Linked DNA regions of Danio rerio. The protein of the gene in region 2 binds, or shares a complex with, the protein of the main gene of each other region. Links are inferred from orthologs where the notes say so. Each region holds a gene or a part of one and is shown on either strand. Other genes may lie near its edges.

Region 1 (7,197 bases), on a different chromosome or scaffold from region 2:
ATAAATCAGTTCAGAAATCTTCTTTCCATTAAACAGAAAACGGGAGAAGAGAGTTGCTAATATTCAGGAGGGCTAGTATTTCTCACTTCAACTGCATATACAGTTATTTTCCCACCTGCAAACATAAGAGAAATAAAAACAATAGAATAAAAATATGAAGCAAACTGTGCTTTATGCATCTTCAATGTCAGAAAAACACTTTAGCTGCAGCAGTCCTTGAGTCAAGAGCAGAAAGACATGTTCTCCATTTATTGTTTGATTAATAATTATAAAAACAGGCGGTAGAAGGATTATCGCGCACTGTCTCTTAAAATGGTTTCTCTTTCGCATGTCTTTTGATTTTCAACACGCGTACAACTAGAAAGGGGGCAGTAAATGATGCAATAATCGTTTATCTCGATTAATGTTTTTACATAATCGTTAGAAGCCAAAATTAAAATCGAAATCGAATTTTTGATTAATTGCACAGCCCTAACTGTATCGTGACAATATTGTGGAACTGGTGATTCCCACCCCTTAAAAAATATTGCTAAAATGTGAAATGGAAACGTGTGATTTGAGAATGGGAAGGGAGGTTACCCGAGGAGTCGTGGCCTGTGTATTCATACATCTTGTCCCAGGTGCTGTTCTCCTCTTTCCAGATGATCACCTTCCTGTCGTAGGAGCAGGACGCCAGGATGTTGCCGTACATGGGATGAGCCCAGGCCACCTGCCACACCGGACCCTCATGACTGAACAGAGACATTCAGAGGTATAATGTATGATAATGAAATTCTGTATCAGTCATAAGTCCGCGGATTTTTAGTCCATAATTGCGACTATTTATTTAATTGTTTTCATGTGTGTACATGTATATTTATTCCGTTTTTAAATTCATTCATTTTCTTGTCGGCTTAGTCCCTTTATTAATTATTAAATATTAATTATTTATAATTTTTTATTAATTATTAATTTATTATTATTATTATTAATAATAATAATAATTAATTAATTATTTAATAAATTTTATTGACAGATAGAAGAGAATGTTCATATGATTTATTTACAAAACAATTTTTAAAGTAATATTTTTTTAACCGCCAACTTATCCAGCAAGTTTTTACGCAGCGGATGCCCTTCCAGCTGCAACCCATCTCTGGGAAACATCTACACACACATTCACACACACACTCAGTCACTACAGACAATTTAGCCTACCCAATTCACCTGTACTGCATGTCTTTGGACTATGGGGGAAACCGGAGCACCCGGAGGAAACCCACGCAAAGGCAGGGAGAACATGCAAACTCCACACAGAAACGCCAACTGAGCCAAGGTTCGAACCAGCGACCTTTTTGCTGTGAGGCGACAGCACTACCTACTGCGCCACTGCCTCGTCTCCGTTTTTAAATTACTTTCAGTAATTTTATTGACTGATACGAGAATGTTCATATGATTTATTTACAAAACAATTTGTAATATTTTCCGTCTTTTAGTAGATATACCATATACTTGCTTTGTTTGCCAAATAAATTGATCTAATTTGCATTGTAAACATTAAATAAAAGTTTAAAAGGTCTTTTTTATGTCATGTATTAAGTTTTCAGTTACGACATTCCTAAAATCATTTCACATAAATCTGCAGATTTTTTTTTACAAAATTCTGCGCAGAAATAGCAAAAATGTCAGCAGATTCTGCCTGGCCCTAGTCATAAGTCACCATTAATAATTAGGAAAACATTGCATGGATTTGACCATTCTGTTATACAAGAACATAAATTTAAATGTTTACAAGTTTTAGTAAATGATGATGGCATTATCTCAAAGACAAAACATATGGCATTATTTGAATGATATTTAAAGCATCTTAATCATTTTCAGATATCACTCACCCTCTTAAATCGGCCACAAGGATCTGTCCTCCGTTCTTGACGTCGAAGATCTTGACAGAGCGATCCGAAGAGCAGGTGGCCAGTCTGGTGCCATAATAATCCATCTGAGCATCATGCTGAAAACACAACAAGAACAACAGCATAAACGCAGAAGACTTGCAGTACAGGTAAAGACAGTGGCAGGATGACTGCAGATACTCACGATCATGTCCTCGTGTGAGGTGTCCACTGTGTTAATGACCGAAACCTGAAACACACAACAACACACATGCTGAAGAGACTTAAAAACATAACAATGACCTTCAACTTTAATGTGCATGAACTTAAAGTAAAAGTGAAGTTTTTTTAATATATTCATGCATTTTATTTAAATACCAGTATTAAAAATGACTTATAAAGTACCAAAATGTAGTGTATAGTGAGGAATGTGCATTATTTTTGATTGATATTATTTTTTACATACATACTGTACAAGCATAGATATAAATTTGTTTCAGCACTAAATATAAGTGTGTGATTAAACAAATAAATAGATTTATTTACTCATTAATTCACCCAACACGGCTTTGTGTAATTTATCATTTTATAATTGAATAGTTGTTTATTGAATAATTAAGCAGATACATTAGTCAAAGCAACTGACAGCACTAAATATAAATATAATACAAAAAAGTACAAGCCTTTGTTATTCTTATTTATTTTATAGGCTTACTCATGTATGCAATTACAAGATATTTTTTACTTAATTTTATTTAGTAACAATTTGTTCTGCAATTAACTGGACTAATGATCGTTTTATTTTATTTTATTTGACAACTTTAACAAAATATACAAACATTATTATATATTATTATATTTGGAATTATAATCTAATGGCAGCCCTAAATTCAACCAGTAAAGTAAAAATAAATGCAATTACCATTTTCTTTTTTAATATATTGTTAGTTATTATAATTATTATTATCGTTATCATGGCTCTATAACTGTCTCTCTCCACTACACCTATGGCTAGTGTGTGGTGAGCGTACTGGCGCCGTTGTCGTGAGGCTGCCGTCGCATCATTATCATGAGACCCCCTTCATGATTGTGAAGCGCTTTGGGTCTATGGCCATACACATTAAATCTGCTATATAAATACTCACATTACATGTAATTAACATGTAATAAAATGAAATACTTTAATCCATTTTTAGCACTAAAAAAGAAGTTTCATTTACATTTTTTTATTTAATCATCAGCAGTGATGTATGCAATTACTAGTTTATTTATTTCTTTAATAATAAGTTAATAATTACTTAATTAATTAATAATTAATAATAATTATCTTTATATGTCGTTTATTATGTTACACAATTCACTAGACTAAATACTTAAATCGATTGACATCACTAAATATAATAAACCATTTTATCTATTTCTCTATTTTTAAAATTCTGTGTAGTTTCATTCATTATTTCATTAAATATATATATATATATATATATATATATATATATATATATATATATATATATATATATATATATATATATATATATATTTAAAAAAGATTATAAGATTATAAAAATCCTAATATTTTAAAACAACTAATCCTTTATTTAAACTGCCAATAATAATTTATTTCACATTTATATCCACGGTCTTCTCAAATTACAGTATGTTTTCAATTTATTCTTTCAATAAATATCTAAGCAGTTATTTAACAGTTTTGCCATTTTAACTATCATGTATTTCACATTTTGTAATATATTTTATACAATACAGGTAATTAAAAAGTGTAGGTATAGATTATACGTTCCGTTAATATTTATTACAGATCTTGCTTGTTAGTTTAGTTAGGAGATTTTAGTTGTTGTTTTGTTTTTAAGATGAACGTATTCAATTAAGATTAATTCAATTCTTTATTAGGGTAATTTGATGAAGATAATCTAATCATATATAAAACTTCTGCTTTAATTCTCAAGAGAAAATAAAAAAATAGAAATAAAACAAGATTACCGAATAAATTATCACGACTTTACAGTACCAGGATCATTACTCTATTCTATTTAACGTTACGTTATCAGCTCGTGAACTACCGGGTTTCATACATATATCTGACCATAAATACACCACATACCATAATGTAACACTCACCATGTTTGCTTATATCCCTCAACAACCTCCTTTAACGATAAACTTTTAAGAATGTACCCTTTTTACTCCTCAGTGCTTCAGAAAATAATATACTGATAATATTTCCGACGTGGCAAACCTGACCGCTCAGAGCGGACTGTGTTCCTGCAGCTAAACCCTCCGTGTGGAACGAAAAAAAGATTCCGCCCAGTTTTTCCGTCCGCGCTCTGCAGTTCACATTGATTCCAGCAGATGGCGGCAGAGTGAGTTAAATTAATGTCACTCATCTCTATTTATAACTGCTCGAAAGTGTCATATGTCCCAGTCTCTCCAGTGTCCAGTAAGGCGCAATGGTCTTCATTAAACTCAGCTAAACTTTCGGCATTATTTATTTTGCATCGTCCATTAAGCGCTGTACTTTTAACCGTCAAGATGTCGAACGTTACTTTTTATATTTCCAATCTGTTGGAAAAAATGACATCCACTGACAAAGACTTTAGGTAAGAGTATTTTAGAGACGCATGTTTCAGACTCATGACTAATGTTTACAGAAATAGGCCAATGACAAAGCTGTTACCGGGAGTTTTATGTAAAACTTGATTTTTTTAAAGATTTAACTTACACAAAACTTTAAAACTCTTTGAAAAAAGAGAAGTGGAATAAACAGGGACAAGCCTAACGTTACTTGTTTTGTTACTGTAAAACTAGATATTGTTGACATGCTATAAATGGTCTGGCTTGCATGAAGTGTGCACTGTTATATTACTTTTTTATTTTACTGTTGACGACTAAACAGAATCTCAAGTATTTAAATGTAAGAATTTGTCTTTTTTTTCGTACAAACACACACAAAACAAGATTTAATATAAACCATGATTAATTTTTATAAGAAATTAAAGGTGTAGCAATCATGTTTTGTGTGTGTGTGTGTGTACCCTGTCACCATACAATTACACACTGAAAAAAGTCTTGTCTATCCGATTTGTAGGAACAACAAATAATAACTTGACTTCTAGTTGTCTATTTGGTACCAGAAGTGGCTTATATGAAAGGAAAATGCCTCTAGATTACGCTTATTTTACCAAAATCAAATATGATCATGCCTTGATTTTTTATTTATTTAATTTGGACAGTAAGGTCTGACTTTTCTAAGCCAAAAGTATTTTACTTAACAGAAATAATGTAAAGTACAGAATATAAAGTCGTAGTGCAGTGGAAAAAAGAATTAATATTGTGCATGATTCCCATGTGCTTCGGAAACTGCATCCATACACCTCTGTAATGACTGTAATAACTTATTAATAAAGTCATCTGGAATGGCAAAGAAAGCGTTCTTGCAGAAATCCCAGAGTTCATCAAGATGCTTTGGATTCATCTTCAATGCCTTCTCCTTCATCTTACCCCAGACATGCTCAATATTGTTTATGTCTAGTGACTGGTATGGCCAATCCTGGAGGACCCTGATCTTCTTAGCTTTCAGGAACTTTGATGTGGAGTACATGAAGCAGCGCTATCCTGCTGAAGAATTTGCCCTCTCCTGTGGTTTGTAATGTAATGGGCGACACAAATGTCTTGATATCTCAGGCTGTTAATGTTGCCATCCACTCTGCAGATCTCTCGAATGCCCCCATACTGAATGTAACCCCAAACGATGATTTTTCCTTCATCGAAATTGACTGCTTTCTATGAGAATCTTGGGCCCATGTGGGCTCCAATAGGTCTTCTGCAGTATTTGTGATGATTGGGATGCAGTTCAACAGATGATTCAGCCGAAAAAAATCTACCTTCTGCCACTTTTCAAAATGATCAACAAGAAGTCAAGTTATTATGTTTTACACTTACAACTGGGATAGCTGTCAAGACTTTTCCCTGGTTGTGTATACCTCAAATACCATGGTAAGACTTAGACTATAATAAGTGTAGCAAATAAATAAATAAATAAATAAAACATTACCATTGTATGCTTGCAACATTTAAAAAGGAAACCTGCCCTGATCTCCTTAGGTGTCTTTGAAAGCCTAAAGGCAGATTTTTTTTTTTTTTATGTAAAGGTAGGGCTGGGCGATTTGGCCAAAAAAAAAAAAAAAAAAAATCTAGGTTTTTTATAAAGTTTGACCGATTCACGATTTAGATTTTTTTATTTAATTTTTTTTATTGTGTTACTAGTTTTCTCAAAAAATGACTCAACAACATGACTGAAGTAACATTCACTTTAAAAGTAACTTGAAAAACCATCTGGTTAAGGAGCATTGTATTTTTAATGGCCATGTCATACAAAACTCAATCAAGGTGTGAAAAAAATGTAAAACAAATTCACGAGTTAAATAGTGGTGCTGAAGATTTGAATAAGAAATATTTGTGTAAATATTGCAGTTGCAGGAATACAGAGGTATTTTTTGCAAGTTTTGCTGAGCCTGGGAAAGATTGGCTGTCAGCTCGGCTTTGACTTTGTCTTCTGATTAAATGACAGGTTGTAATGCTGCTGCCTTTTTACAGTGGAAGAAAAAGGACTGAACATGGAAACTGTAAAGCCTAATTTAACCCAATGTGTGAAGTTGTGGACGTATAGCAGGAGCAAATACAAGCACCATATGTGTGTCTAATATAAAATAATATATTTAATCTATTTTTATTTTTTCCCCTTTTAAATACCGATCATTTGATGCGGTTTGCAGCACTCTCTGTATTATGCTGCCTGATTTGTCTGGTTTTCAACTAGGTCCGCTAAATGACGTCATGGGGCCGGGTACTTTCATTTTCACTGCTACAGTCCCTCACCTCTACTCGTGTTCAAACCAAAAGATCAGCGCGGTTTTTCACATGGCAGGCTTTTACGTCCTTCATACATGTTGAGATCGAGTTAGTCGACTTGATGAGGGAATGTTTTGACAATACACACAGACGTGACTCAGACTAATGCAACAAGTAAAATCCTACATGACTTCACGCTTTAACAGGCAGTCAAGCAGGTCGTACACCAGAAGCGCGCGACACGGCGCGCACATGACAGTTTAAACCATCACACACCAAACGCACACATTCTCATGATATTTAACATGAAACTAATCAGATGACACTCTGTGGCACGGCTGAAATATGAACTGCTTCGTGAATCGTGGCTGGGCGGCGCCGGTTTGTGTATAGAAATCTGTTTAGAATTCTAAAATCCAAGGCGCTGCGTGGTGCTGCGCGGCGCGGCTCCGAGAGGCAC
Region 2 (7,223 bases):
AGGCTTAATTTGTAAATTGCGATGTCCTGGAACAGATCGAGGTAACATAACTGGCATTTTACCCGAGGATGAAAAGGTGTCGTGGATGAAAATGTACAGCGTGAGGGGGGATGGGGGGGATTGTCACAGACAAAAGTGAAGATCAGGGTCAGGGTTGTCGTGGAAGAAATTGAACAGTGGATGGGGAGGAGGTAGGTTGAAGAGGGGGATTGGTAAAATAAGGTGCTGGATTAGATTTCAGAGGTGCCGGATCCGGAGTGTTCTGGCACAAATTAAGCCCAGGGTATAAAGCATAAATGAGTACACTCCCTTTTAAAATTAAAATAATATCTATTTCTCAGTGTATACAGCCAATACATTTTGGTGCAATTAAACAATTTATTAAACAGTTTATTAAACATTTTCATCCATTAAAATATATGTTTGGTCATCTAACATCTTTAGGAATATAAAGATAATACATTTAAATTCAAATGATATATTACAAAAAAACTAAATTGAATATTTTTTTTATATCTTTTCTACTGATTTTAACTGTTTATTAAAACATTTTTTCCAACATTTTAATTTGGGTGTACACATTTTTGGACTGTGATCATAATTTTTTTTGTTAGATTAGTTTTAGTTTTGGCTTTGGTAATGACTAATCTAATGCATACAGTATGTACAAATACAGTTGAAGTCAAAATTATAAGCCCCCCTGAATTATTAGCCCTTCTGTGTTTATTTTCCCCGATTTCTGTTTAACGGAGAGAATATTTTTTTCAACACATTTCTAAACATAATAGTTTTAATAACTTATCTCTAATAACTTATAAATAGCTTAAAGGGCCAAATAATTTTGACCTTAAAATGGTTTTAAAAAATGAAAAACTGCTTTTATTCTAGCCGAAATCAAACAAATAAGACTTTCTCCAGAAGAAAAAATATAATTAGACATACTGTGAAAATTTCTCTGCTCATTTAAACATAATTTGGGAAATATTTAAAAAAGATTAATAATAATTCTGACTTCAACTGTAAATTATTGTAATGCACCCTGTAGAAAATATTAATTAAAAAGAGAAATCTGTGAGGGGTGAACTCATGTATGCTGAACACTGTACATATAATTAATATTTGTTTACTTACAGATGCAGCAAATATATGGGCGTCAGATTTGTGTGGGTTCCACTGGACTGTACCAACGTCCCATTTGCTCTGGCGGCTGATTTTACGAGGAGCTTCGGACGGCGTTTCTAAATTTACAACGTATAAGAATCGTCTCCTGTGTGAAAGAATAAATAGACTGTGTTATGACAGAAACAGATTTAATAACAGGGCTGCACAATATATCGTTTTAGCATCTATATCACAATGTGTGCATTTGAAATAATCACATTGGATTATCCGCGGTACAGAGTTGGAATTATAGTTGGTCAGCAATGAAGACTGTACAGTGTTACTTCATATTTTGCATTACATTTGAGTATTCAATTACTGTACCTGAATATCTACTGTTTGACTTATAAAACACTTCTTATTTCACTTTTATTTTTGCTTTATTTTGCTTATTTATGCTTGCAATTTGTTTGATTCACTCCACTATAAGATTATGCCAGTCAATCTAAATTAAAGATTTAATAGCAAATAGAGCTATTTAAGTCATCCGCTGAAATTCTATTCATATCGCAATATATATCCAAGAAAAATACAATAGCACAATGTCAGATTTTTCTAATATCGTGCAGCCCTAATTTATAACAATAAAAACAGTATATGCAACACATAAAACTTTGCTAGAGCTGGTGCAGGAGGGTGTGCTGGTAATTCCCCATGATGATGTGACATTAGTGGAGGTTTTACACACCCAGAGAGAACAGCGTGCTGGCCCAGACAGTCCACTGACATAGCATTAGCCTGAAAACAGAAAAGTTTATTATATAGCATACATTTCAGGCTTATTTCTACTCTTTTAAATGTTACAGAAATTCAACTACAGCATTGTTTGAACTACAGTGGCCTTGATAGAACTGAACATACAGATTTTTAATGAATAAGCGAGAGATGAACATAAAGACTTTAACCCTTGTGTGTTGTTGGGGATGTTTTCATCCACCCAGGGGTGATTTAAAGTCTTAATCTGGCCACAACTTTCTATGTGTTTCTGAAAATGGAATGATTTTGGTGACAAATCTTAGTTTGACACAAATTTTCGGAAATTAAATGCTTTGAAAAACTCAATACACTCTGGGTAAATTTACTACCCTTTGTTATGTTAGTGGATATTTTTGCCCCATTGACTTTCATTATAAAGACATTTATGATTGCAAAGCCATGGCACCATATAATCATGCCTTCTTGACTGTTGCTGGTTTTCCCTGATGGGAAGAGGTCAAATTTGCCATGGCTTTGCAATCAAAAAATGGCATTATAATGGAAGTCAATGGAACAAAAACAGCAACTAACATAACGAAAGGATCGTCATTTTAAATAATCCACAAGAGTTAAACAACCAACATTAAAGAACTTTAAAAATATATTGATATATATATTTTTAAGAGGAAAAACTTTTAAAGGAGCATTTTTAATGAAAAGTACATAAAATAAATTATTATTTTGAGTGGATGCCTCTCGGGCAACGTCTAAAGTCAACTAGATGTTCCTCAAATCGTTATGAATTTACTTTTGTACCAAAAGCAATAATAAATGTGGATGATCAATGGTTTAAAATTATGATTTTATATATTTTTTGTTTGTGTAATTGATGTTACATGTGTCATTTGTGTTAAATGTGAAGCATCAGAAATATCAGCATGAATAGCCCCAAGAGAATTAATAAAGCTTTAGGCTAACTAAACCAAGTTTTTACAGAATAATTGAGTGCCAAATTCCACATTTGGACTTAAAGCCCTTTAACAACCAACGTTAAAGAAATTTTAAAGTATATTTTTATCAGGAAAAAAACTTTTAAAGTAGCATTTCTTTAATGAAAAGTACATTAAATTAAATTGCTATTTGTGAGTGAATGCCCCTATGGCGACGTCTAAGGTCAATTAGATGTTCCTCAAATCATTATGAATTTACTTTTGGGCTTGAAGCAATCCGATTACATAATATATGTAGATGATTGATGGTTTATTATTATTATTTTATATATTATTTGTTTGTTTAGTTGATGTTACGTGTGTCATTTGTGTTATATGTAAAGCATCATAAATATCAGTATGTATTGCCCCAATGGGGATTAATAAAGCTTTAAGCTAACTAAACTAAAAACAACTAAAAAACACATTTTTGCAGAATAATTGAGTGCCAAATTCTACACTTATAAACAACCAACATTAAAGAAATCAAAATATATATTTTATCAGGACTATCCTTTGAAGTGGCATTTTTTAATCAAAACTTAAGTACACTGGAAGAACTTGCTGTACTTGTTCTTAACCGTTTGATCTTTGAAAATTTTAGTGCATTTTTATTGTATTTTAGTGTAATTTCAGTGCATTTTTAATGTATTTTTTGTAATTGAAATGTACTATACAATCTTCTGTTATCTTCAAGTTTTGTAAACATAAGAGTTTTAGTTAAATAAATAAACATTGCTTTGATAGTCAATATTTAATGACATTCATCAATTTGTATTGTAGTTTAAGGATAAGTAACAACCTATAATCTTGATGTATGAACTATCAACTACTTATTGAACCACAGTTCTCAGCGGTCATTCTACCATGACTGCCTTCAAAGTCTTCATTAACAAGACGTTCATTGTGGTACTAATAAAGCACAGTGTATACCATGGTAAGTTTATAAAGGGAACATATTAGTAAACAAAAGAATGTCATTCAATTCAAAGTTAAAAGACGTCGCTTAGCTTTGCCATTTAAGCAGTGCATGCTTGTTGCTTCAAAGTTGTTTGAAACTACACTTCTAACGCATTTAAAGCATGCACACGCGTGTAGCGACTGTTTACCTGTGCATCTCGAAACTCCACCACCACATTCTCACTGCTCCAGCGGGCCGCCATCTTCACCCCACCTGAACGTCAACAAATGACGTGATACTAACGGGACGATACTGCGTCTCCTCGCGAGAACTACTGCCACACAGTCAAGATGGTGGCGACCATAGTGGAGCATGTTGTTGTGGATGCTGGAGCTTTTATCAAAAGGGCTCCTCTGCACGTGAGTTATTTTTTCAGGGATTTGGGTTATCGTTCGGTTCTTTTAATTTCGACGTCCAGAAATTTGCGTTTTAATGGCTGTGCTGCGGGATAAATGACGAAACCGACACGCGTGTTGTAACTGCGTAGTGCGAACTTTACTGTTATTATATGGCCACATTTGCTCAGTGACACGATACTTATATTGTTTATCATAGGGCTTTAAACATTCTGTCTGAAATCTCATGCAAGTATGACTGTAATGTTACTTTCATTGTCGTAATATGATTTCCATATTTAGAATTAGCCAATAATACTTTACTGAAATTATATTATCAAGGGAAAAATCCTAATGCTCGAATATAAAACCAATTTTCCCCCAAAAGAATAAATAGATATGATTATGGTGTATTATTTAGATCAGAGATGGCCAAACTTTTTCTTATGAAAGGCCAAAGATTAAACCTGATTGAGGGCTGTAATATAAACTGTTTTACATTAAAGTCGCCATGTTTTTCTGTTCCTAAATTATGGAATAATATTGATATAAAAAAAACATTTCATTAATTAATGCATTTTTTTACATTTTTAATGAACATATTAGAATATAAACAAACAATTTTATTTGGATCACAATGGAGTTTGATGTAGAACACACTAGTCAAGCCGCACATCCTTATGCATTGATTTGTTAGCCAAAGTCCTGTGCCTTGTTCTCTATCCATCAAGTGATAGTATATACATTTAAAAAAACTTAAACATTTAAATTAGGTTAGCTTTTTTGTAGCAACAAAACAATAACACAAACAAACAAAAGGTTACATTAAATTAGAAATGACAATCTCTATTAAAGGCATTCCTCAACCATACCCATCATTCTCCCTATCGGATGGTGGGCCAAATCAAAAGTTATCATGGCCACCTTTGGCCCGTAGGCCCTAGTTTGGGCATCTCTGATTTAGATCATACAAAGGCAACACACTAGTATAAAATACCATAGTATAAGGTATTTGCATAGTGTTTGGGCATAGACATGTCTATATTTAGTAATACAACATATTTTGATAATGAACATGCATGATATTGTTGACATGAGAACTTAAAATACACATTTATTTGAGCTAGTTTTAATTAGTTTGAGGTCTTATTCAAATAAATACATTAAACAAATTAAAAAATAGCTCTAACAAATTAAAAATAGTTCAAGTAGATGTGTATTTTTTTAGTTCTTTTGACAACAATATCATGCATGTTCATTATAAAAAATATATCTAAATATCTATACATCTATTCCCAAGCACTGCAAAAAAAAAAACACATTCTACTATGGTATTTTTTGTTAGTGTGTCTGTTGTGTGTCTAGCTAGTGTATGTATTATTTAAAAACTGCCTTTAAATAATATTCAGATCGTTTTAGAGCTGCACAACACTGAAAGTCTGACATTGCGATATTTTGTTTTGCTGATATATATTGCGATGTTAATCTAACAATTTAAAGAGCTCTATTTGGATGTATTTCATTTATTTAGATCAACTGGGAGGATCAAGTGTTTTTCTATGCAGTGGATCTGCATAAATTATACTAAATTACAAGCAAAAATAAATACCTAAACAGTGCTTTATGATTTTCTGGGGAGTCTAAAACAGTATTCGAGTACAAAAGTGGAACAATCAGATGATACATTGTCATCATTGTAAATATTTTTTAAATAATATTTAATAACATGTTTATATTTTAATCTTTAATAAATAATGCAATCCTGTGACGTGACTGACACACACGTTGCAATATCAATGCTCAAACTATATATTGTTCAGCCCTAGATTGTTGTATTTGCAGTGGTTGTTATCACACAAACACTTGAATACTTAATAGGATATGTATTTCCAGACGAAAACGAAATGTAAAGAAAGAAACGTTAGTATATGTTGCATTTAATAGATGTATATGTATTTAATATAATATATGCTTGCCATTTCTATCTGTTATAACAAGTTTGTGTGTTCCAATAGGAAATTGGCAAGAACATTTATACCTTGAAGGATGTTGTTGATGAAATTCGGGATAAACCAACTAAAAGGAGCTTGGCCTTTTTACCATACAAGCTTGATTTCAAAGAACCATTTCCAGAGTACATTCAATTTGGTAATAACTGCTCTTTGTGTCTTACTTCCAAGTCTTTATTTCAGTGCTGGTAGTGATTTATATTTGTTTTTGAATAACAGTTACAGAGTTTGCTAAAAAGACAGGAGATTATCCCAGTCTGTCAGCAACGGACATCAAGGTTTTGGCTCTGACTTATCAACTGGAGTCTGAAAATGTGGGGACTGAGCATTTGAAGAAAGAACCTGAGAAACAGGTACTGCAGATGAATTAAGTAATTAATTCAGATTTTAGTTAATATTTGTTTTAGTTTTCAACATTGTCTGCATTTCAGGTTCAGATATGCAGCACACAAAGACATCCAGAGACTCCTGTTGGCATTGCTGGTTTCCATTTTCCTTCAAAAGTAAGACAAAACTTGAAAAAAGTTTGGTGTTTATTTAAATTATATTAATTAAAGGAAAATCCCATTATTTTTTAGTTTTGATAGTTGTTTTTTAAATGGGATAAATAATATAATTTGCATCCACAGTAAGAGGGCATTTATATTTTCTATCTTTATTTTTTATAGTAGTAATTTATAATAATTATATATATATATATATATATATATATATATATATATATATATATATATAATATATATACATATATATATACATACAACAGTTCTGTCTGGTTCTTAAATCTGATTGGCTGATAGCCGTGCGATATTCTGCAATATCAGAACTCCTACAGCCTCTTTACCCTTTGTGTATTACTCCGCCCACATACAGCCAGCAAAAAGCAGACACTACAGATCTACTGTTTAAAAGATGCACTCTCAGCTGTTTAACTGTCAGCTTGTGATTTGAATCCGGAAGAAAGTAGTTCCTTATACAAAAGGGTTTTTGAGACTCTCCATGTTTGATTTTGTTTTTATATACACAATTATGTCGTCAAACTGTTGTATAAAAGCAATATCACACTCGAAGC

The links.
Region 1: the proteins of wdr59 (region 2) and sec13 are in contact, whole or in part, in a cryo-EM structure (PDB 7UHY), measured with the Homo sapiens proteins. The link is inferred for Danio rerio from reciprocal best matches to the Homo sapiens genes WDR59 and SEC13. Residues at the interface, in NP_085058.3 of Homo sapiens: Ala525, Tyr526, Gly527, Asp531, Ala532, Asn533, Ile534, Pro535, Phe536, Pro537, Arg538, Thr539, Ser540, Gly541, Ala542, Arg543, Phe544, Cys545, Gly546, Ala547, Tyr549, Val551, Phe553, Thr554, Arg555, Met557, Ala644, Gly645, Lys646, Val647; in NP_899195.1 of Homo sapiens: Val4, Ile5, Asn6, Thr7, Val8, Asp9, Thr10, His12, Asp14, Met15, Ile16, His17, Asp18, Ala19, Gln20, Met21, Asp22, Tyr23, Tyr24, Gly25, Leu28, Val42, Pro59, Trp61, Gln62, His67, Pro68, Tyr79, Ser105, Asn107.

What each region holds. Positions count from the first base shown.
Region 1 is NC_133197.1:32,943,585-32,950,781, reverse strand, and holds the start of sec13 (protein SEC13 homolog), read right to left. Parts: upstream 4,115-7,197; 5' UTR 4,011-4,114; coding exon 4,008-4,010; intron 2,119-4,007; coding exon 2,074-2,118; intron 1,988-2,073; coding exon 1,872-1,987; intron 732-1,871; coding exon 580-731; intron 1-579. Other genes in the region: cand2 (cullin-associated NEDD8-dissociated protein 2), read left to right, coding at 4,419-4,486. UniProt on the Homo sapiens protein: Functions as a component of the nuclear pore complex (NPC) and the COPII coat. At the endoplasmic reticulum, SEC13 is involved in the biogenesis of COPII-coated vesicles.
Region 2 is NC_133193.1:7,030,036-7,037,258, reverse strand, and holds the start of wdr59 (GATOR2 complex protein WDR59), read right to left. Parts: upstream 4,022-7,223; 5' UTR 4,010-4,021; coding exon 3,956-4,009; intron 1,900-3,955; coding exon 1,850-1,899; intron 1,268-1,849; coding exon 1,132-1,267; intron 1-1,131. Other genes in the region: RNA-binding protein NOB1, read left to right, coding at 4,098-4,166, 6,158-6,290, 6,371-6,504, 6,583-6,654. UniProt on the Homo sapiens protein: As a component of the GATOR2 complex, functions as an activator of the amino acid-sensing branch of the mTORC1 signaling pathway. The GATOR2 complex indirectly activates mTORC1 through the inhibition of the GATOR1 subcomplex.